Linked DNA regions of Tribolium castaneum. The protein of the gene in region 1 interacts with the protein of each later gene in a pairwise test. Links are inferred from orthologs where the notes say so. Each region holds a gene or a part of one and is shown on either strand. Other genes may lie near its edges.

Region 1 (3,929 bases):
TGTTTAAAAGTTATTTTTAAAAGTATGCGCCTTTCTGGACACGGTCGCCAACCCAGCAAATCTCCTCCTCATGGCCCACTTCCTTTAAATGGTAATTGTTGGTTTCTTGAACGTGATTGGTTGCTTTGACAGTTTTCTTGTTTTCTTGCTCTTAGCTTGCATGAAGTGTTGAATTTTTCATTTTTCTGGTTGTTTAAAAGTTTTAAAATATTGTAGACTCTTCCGAATAATTGTTGGTAAGGACTGGAATGCTATTTTGAGTTTATTAACCCCTGTTCTCTTCAGTAGGCCTGGAAATAAATTAGTTACATATCGTGTTTTTTCTTCAATTTCCAGGTCTTACGACGAGTTGGAATTAACTGTACAGCAAAATGTCACCAATTCCAATGCCAGGGTAAGCATTCTGTTGTATTACGCAACTGTTAAAAGTTAAAGTAATTCATTAAAAAGTAGGCGTTGCCTCTTTAGTTGGTTGGTTTAATTCCGGAAGTTGTATCATTATTACTGTACTTAATAGTACAAGGTATGTTCTAAATTATTCACTCTGTATATCATTGATCCCCCATATTACTTGTATTAGAAATTTCACTTAAAAAAATGACCTATGTTTTGTATGTCAAGGTCATTTTTTATCAATAATGCCGTAATTACTGATAATCTCTAATTCATGTTTTTGTTTTCTGGATAAGAACGTGTTATAGTCACAAAATCGGAACTGCTGAAACAAAATCAATTGTTTCAGTTACAATACAGGGTGTCTCACCTAACTCTTCCATCTAATGTGACGTCACCATAAAGCTGCTGGACGTTTTAGTTCTTTTTCTATGATCAAATACTCAATTTTTTTTATTCCAATTCGTAAAATTGCACTAAAATTCAATATTTTCAATAATAATAAATATAAAAATACTGCATAGCTCGTTATAAAAAAGAAATAAAGTATAAAACATTAGTGTACAATACATAAAAGATAAGATAAGACAAGAAACGTCAGTATAATTAGAAAAAAATTCTTTTGCTTTGGATTTTTTATTAAACTGATAGAAAAAATAAAAAATTATAACCAAAAAAGCTATTAGTGTTTTAATTACTTCCCCTAGCAACGTGTTTTAAAATAAAATTTTCTATCAATAACACTCATACGAAAAGTTCTCGCATACGCTCGTTGCATAAGAAAAAATGGTGCGAAAAATGTAAAAAATACGAGATTCGTGCCAGGTCATATTTTTATTTACTTTGTGACGTCATTTTGCAATTAAGAGGAAAAGTTAAACACTTAGCAACATAAACACTATCTTTAGTCACAATTTATCTGTGGTTTCCGGTTGTGGTAACGAATTTTTGACAATTATTACCTTTATTATAATAAGCTTCTAACACTCACTCGTATAACTAGACCTACTATTACGTTTTGTTGGACTTGACGATATCTATACGATTTGTTGATTTAAGCCATAGATTAGATGTAGTTTACAAGGGGAAAAATCTTTTAGAGTGTTCGTGTGACATACATTAGATCAATGTTTTCGAAAATAGACTTGTCCCCAAGTATCCCATCACTGGGTTCAATCTCCCAAAGTAGGCTGTTTCAAAGAAGGGCCAACTCGAAAGATGATCTTTCAGAGGAATATCGCAGTTTCCAAGACATTGACTACGAATTTATCGACAAATCCGATTTACAACAACATGGCTTTTCACGCACGTAATAATTTTCACTCTTATTTATTATTAATTGTGGTTTTTTGACGAATGAAAAGAGATTACAACATATCGTATAACCCGTAAACAAGTGAGTGCTGGTTTCTAGGGTCACTTCGACCATGTCTCTGGACAACATGCTGTGTGCCCGTTGTGGCGACGGTTTCGAGCCGCATGAAAAAATCGTCAATTCTACTGGACAACTGTGGCACCAGCAGTGTTTTGTGTAAGTATTTTTTTTTTAATTTTTTTTTTTTTTTTAATAAAAAATCTCCAGCTGTGCCCAGTGCTTCCAAGAGTTTGATGATGGGATTTTTTACGAGTATGACGATCGCAAGTACTGCGAGAGAGATTTCCAGATTCTCTTTGCTCCGTGTTGTGGAAAGTGTAATAATTTTATCATCGGGCGGGTCATCAAGGCCATGAATGCCAGCTGGCATCCGGAATGTTTCCGTTGCGAGATGTGCGAGACGGAATTGGCGGATACTGGATTTATTAAAAATGCAGGACGGGCTTTATGTCATGAATGCAATGCCAAGGTTAAAGCCATAGGGTCGGGGAAACACGTCTGCCACAAGTGCCAGTAAGTATAATGACAGGAAATGGTTTTCATTTCGAAAAATTAAATAAAGGCGAACGTGGAGCTGTTTTTTTCTCTTTTTCTAGCAATTTTGCGAAATTTTATCAAAATTGGTCGAAAATTGCCTTGTTTTTGAACGGCTGTTTACTTTATTGTTTTCAGTCGAAAACTCAATGATTTATTTGAACAATTACTAAATGGGGGCAAAAATAAATATAAATTTTGCTTTTTTCGTCCGTATTTTACATTTTTTAGAGACTTTATTATTAATATTTTTCCAAAATTTGGTGGAAAAGACAATAAATGACCAAAACAGAGCGAAAATTGTGTGATTTGACCTCTTTTGCGTTAGCCAAAAATAACCAGAAAAAAAGTGGAGTGGGGTGGTGAGTATTTGAGCTAAAAACTGAGTTATTTTTGCAAGATTTTTCAATGTCAATCCGAAAAGTCACCAAATTAGATCGAAACTGATCCTCATACTACCTTTTTCAAGCGTTTAAACAAGGTTTTAAGATAAAAACCGATCGTTTTTCGGCTTTTAGTTCAATTTTTGAGCAATTATTTCGAATTTCGCAAAATTGCTCGAAAATCAATCGAAAATTGCGTTATTTTTGAACAGTTGTGCACTTTATAGTGCTAAAAACTCGAGAAATTAAATAGCTTTTAATTTTTTTGGACGCTTTATTGCAACTTTCTTCAGTCTAAAACTCAATTGTTTATTTGAAAAAAAAAAGAAAGACAGTTTTTCGTTTACAGAAACGACTATATTATTAATTTTTTTTTCAAAATTTGGTGAGATAGACGTCAAAAAATTTGGTCAAAGCGAAAATGGTGTGAAAACTGCGGATTTTTTTTAATGTGAGGCAAGAAAAAATGTTTTTATTGCCTTTTTTGGCCGTTTTTGTGCGTTTTCTTTGCATAAAAGTAAAATAATATTATTTAAAGTTGGAGATAATTTAGCTAACGGTTTGATATAGTAGTACATTACGTCAAAAATTAATTTGTTTTTTTTTGTTTTTTTTAAGTCTCTTGGCACGTTTTCCAATAAATTTTATTTTAAACATGTTTTACTGCTTTAATCTATTTTTTTTGTGGGAGATATTTGATATAAATCCACCGACAAATCATAAAATTTTGGTCGAAAATTGCGTTGTCTTTGAACGGTTGTTTACTTTATTGCAACTTTTTTGAGTCGAAATTATTTATTATTATTATTTGAACAATTACTAAATAGGGGCAAAAATAAAAATAAATTTTGCTTTTTTCGTCCGTATTTTACATTTTTTAGAGACTTTATTATTAATATTTCTCAAAAATTTGGTGGAAAAGACAATAAATGACCAAAACAGAGCGAAAATTGTGTGATTTGACCTTTTTTGCGTTAGCCAAAAATAACCAGAAAAAAAGCGGAGTGGGGTGGTTTAAACAAGGTTTTAAGATAAAAACCGATCGTTTTTCGGCTTTTAGTTCAATTTTTCAGTAATTATTTCGAATTTTGTTGGAAACAAATCGATGAAACACTAAATTCGGTCGAAATTTTCGCTAAATTTTATCAATAATCAGTCGAAAAACTTTAAAATTATCTCAAAAAGTGGTATACTCGTATTTTACCTTTTTTGTGAGGTAAAAACTTTGTTTTTCTAAGATTTTC
Region 2 (3,506 bases), on another chromosome or scaffold:
AGTACAGGTATGTCAGTCACAACATCCTTGGATCAGAGTTTATCTTTGAATGTTTCAAAGCCAAAGCAAGCTATAGCTAGAAAAACAGCACACCCATGGGAGGAAAAACGTTACCCGAGTTTTCCCACACCTGAATCAGATTTTCTCTCAAGTCCACACTCTGAAAGTGGATTGAATGATTTTACTGACGATCTGTTCAATAATATTGAACTTGATGATTTTATGGGGGTCACTGATACGATTCTAGACCCTGTTTCGAATGAAACGAGTGAGGAGAACTTGCATTTAAAAGAGCACAATTATACTACGAATGAAGACGAAGACGATGTTGGAGTATGTTTACACGTTTCAAGACACAAGGTCTCGCTAGAGTTTTGCGCCACCTGCAGCGAAAACGCCCAACAAGCCTGGAACGACTGAATTAATTTAAAATGTCTGTATCTAAGTATACTTTGTTGTCTATGTATAGTCAAACTCTTTCCTTGCACTTAGGATTAAATGTTATTGTTACTAGCTAGTTTTGTGGAATTCTGGAGTATTATTGTTTTTTTAAATTTTCAGGACCTTCACGGATTGGAGATTGTAGCTTCAGAAGGATTTGCAGTCCACCTTCTGAAACAAAAGGTGCGGTAGCGTCCAATTTTGGTAAATCCCAACTTCTGAGCATTTTTATTATTAGTGAGGAATCAGAATTTGGGATTGTCATTTGTTTTTGTTGAATTGTTATTTTCACGCTTTGGTCTGATTTCAGTCAAAGACGCAGTCAAGTCACTTCAGGGCTGTAACAATGACTGGAATAAGTAGAGTAACAAATGTATCGTTCCATGTTATCATATACACAATATTTCGTTCTAGAAATCGTATATTTTTTCTATTTGTTCAACTTCTACTAAACAAGTATGTTTTTGAGTTTCAGCACATAGCGCAGAGTCCAGGGCCGGGCCGCATTCCGGATTATTATAAGTTTTTTTATTTAATATTAGGTAATAGGTAGGTAGTGTAAGGAAAGGGTCAAATAAACTTTTGTATTTATGTTCCAACTGTCTTTATTCTACTTCCTTCCATTAATTAGCACAAACGTGTTTGTTAATCCAATTAGCTCACTGCACGTAACAAAAACTTGGCAAGTGTCCAGTCAGACCACTGGCAAGTGAAAAAGTTCACTTCGAGCGTGGCTTTCAACGTGGTCAGTTGCTTTTTAAATTTGACGGGCTTTTCGTGCGCGCGCAATGAATCAAGCACCAGTTTCGTGCCTTCCAAACACAAGCAAAATGTCTAAGGCTAAAAAGGTTTTAGACGAAGCTCGGGAAATAAGAAATCTCGAAATTGATTTGGCCGATAAGGCCATTTCTTCGTTCGAAGAAACACCAGGTTTACGTAAGTGGAATCACTCCTCGGCAAGGTTTTACCTAATTTGGTATCTTGTTCCACCTGGGTGGGCGTGGCCCAAAATTAACTAACATTCCCAAGAAAAATAAATAAATAATAATACAATTTTTTATCTCTAATAATGGGGAATAAGTTTTACTACATAGATAATAAGATAAATAGAATTATTAATAGAACACGGAACTGATTGATTTATTTTTTAGTTAATATGACTTACATTACCAGGCTTACGCTAAGCCACAACAAGATCAAATGTAAGTGGGTGCTTCCGCCCTTGGGCCGTAAACTAAAAACCCTTTTTAGCCGTACCGCCGGCTCTTGCAAACTTGACGAACCTCGAAATTTTGAACTTAACAAACAACCACATTGAGGAACTCCCCCTTTCTTTATCATCAATGCCAAAGTTACGAATTCTCAACTTGGCAATCAATCGTCTTTATAATCTTCCTCGCGGCTTTGGCGCCTTTCCAGTTCTTGAAGTTCTCGATCTGACTTACAACAATTTGAACGAAAAATCACTCCCAGGAAATTTCTTCATGATGGGTAATTTACAATTGGTTCCCTCCAAATGATTAATTTTTGATCTAGAAACGTTACGAGCCCTGTATTTGGGCGACAACGACTTTGAGTACCTACCTCCCGAGGTGAAAAATCTCAAAAACTTGCAGATTGTAAGCAAATATTTGACGTTATGTTATTTGAGGTGGGAATAACGGGGTGTTTCAGTTGGTTTTGAGGGAAAACGATTTGATTGAGTTACCAAGAGAGTTGGGGGAGCTGACGAGACTGCGTGAGCTCCATGTGCAAGGAAATCGCCTCACGATACTGCCCCCTGAACTCGGGAATCTCGACATGACGTCGAATAAGTCTGTTTTTAGGTTTGAAGGCAATGAATGGGTGGCTCCTATCGCGGATCAGTTGCAACTAGGAGTCGGGCATTTGATGGAATATTTGCGCTCAGAGGCTTACAGAATGTACGTTTTATAAAACTTTAATTTAGTTTAACGTTTGTTTTTCAGAACGTACAATCGCTACTCGACTAATAAACCACAAGTTCCACCACCTTGCGTCGACAAAGCGAAAAAAATATCGCGAATACGTTGAACTCGTGCCTTTTTTTACCTAATTAATTGACTAATTAACTAAAACGAAAAATACTGCCATTATACTAATTACGTTTTTTTTTATTTGATTTTTGTGGCCTTGGATGTACCAGCTTTAAGTAAAAATTAATTGTATTTTACAGTTTTTACAATAATGCAAATAAGTAAATAAATAATTAACGAAATTGTCAGTCTTAAAAACACTGCTCATCCTCCGTATATTCACTCTCATCGTCCGTTAAATCCGTCGTGTGGATCGACGTTTCGTACTCTAGAATTTCCTCATCACTCAAATGCGAATTGCCTTCCATAAACGACGCAAATCTGAAAAAAAACTTAGATGGCGCCACTTGTGCTAACTTGACCATAGACAGTAACCTATAGAACTCCTACGTATTTTTTGGAAACGCACGGAAAAAAAACGAAATTAAAAAAATTCTCTGTTGACTAATAGTCACAAATAATAAATTCATTAGATTATGAGAATTTGCAGCGTGCAAAGTTGTTATAAAATATCCTGGACATTTTGTGGAGTGGATTAAAAAGACGGGTAACAAGCTGTTATCAACTTTTTCTTAATCAGAAAGTGTATAAATAGCTACGCTGTCTGTTGACTTCATTTTACCAGCGTTGGGCAAAAGTGTGGACCCAAGCGTTTTTGCTTAAATTATGTGCCTTTCGAAAAAAAAAAAAACATCAAGTACTTTAAAAATGTGACCATTTTCTAAGAATAATTTTTTTTGAAATCCTCTCTAGTTTATCAAAAAAAAATCGCCGTACTAGGGTACCTTCCATTGTGGCACGAATGGTTTTGGAGCACGACGGAGTTGCACAAAAGTTCTCTTTGTGATACTACTTTCAGTTTCATTATGAACAATTTGTGAAACCTAAATTAGGTACTTTTAAATAAAATAAATAAAAAGCCAGGATATCTAGTTGGCTGCGTCTTATTTTTCACCTACCACAAAAGGGCACAAAAATCTATGAGACTAAGCGTTCTATAGTTTACCCTCT

The links.
Region 2: the proteins of stck (region 1) and ics interact in a two-hybrid assay, tested with the Drosophila melanogaster proteins (3 studies listed by BioGRID). The link is inferred for Tribolium castaneum from reciprocal best matches to the Drosophila melanogaster genes stck and ics.

What each region holds. Positions count from the first base shown.
Region 1 is NC_087400.1:2,455,592-2,459,520, forward strand, and holds the start of stck (LIM and senescent cell antigen-like-containing domain protein 1), read left to right. Parts: upstream 1-1,520; coding exon 1,521-1,702; intron 1,703-1,807; coding exon 1,808-1,924; intron 1,925-1,975; coding exon 1,976-2,281; intron 2,282-3,929.
Region 2 is NC_087397.1:10,354,670-10,358,175, reverse strand, and holds ics (ras suppressor protein 1), read left to right. Parts: upstream 1-1,156; 5' UTR 1,157-1,229; coding exon 1,230-1,377; intron 1,378-1,592; coding exon 1,593-1,643; intron 1,644-1,692; coding exon 1,693-1,932; intron 1,933-1,977; coding exon 1,978-2,060; intron 2,061-2,115; coding exon 2,116-2,363; intron 2,364-2,408; coding exon 2,409-2,493; 3' UTR 2,494-2,677; downstream 2,678-3,506. Other genes in the region: uncharacterized protein LOC103315046, read left to right, coding at 1-420; Nemp (nuclear envelope integral membrane protein), read right to left, coding at 2,687-2,816.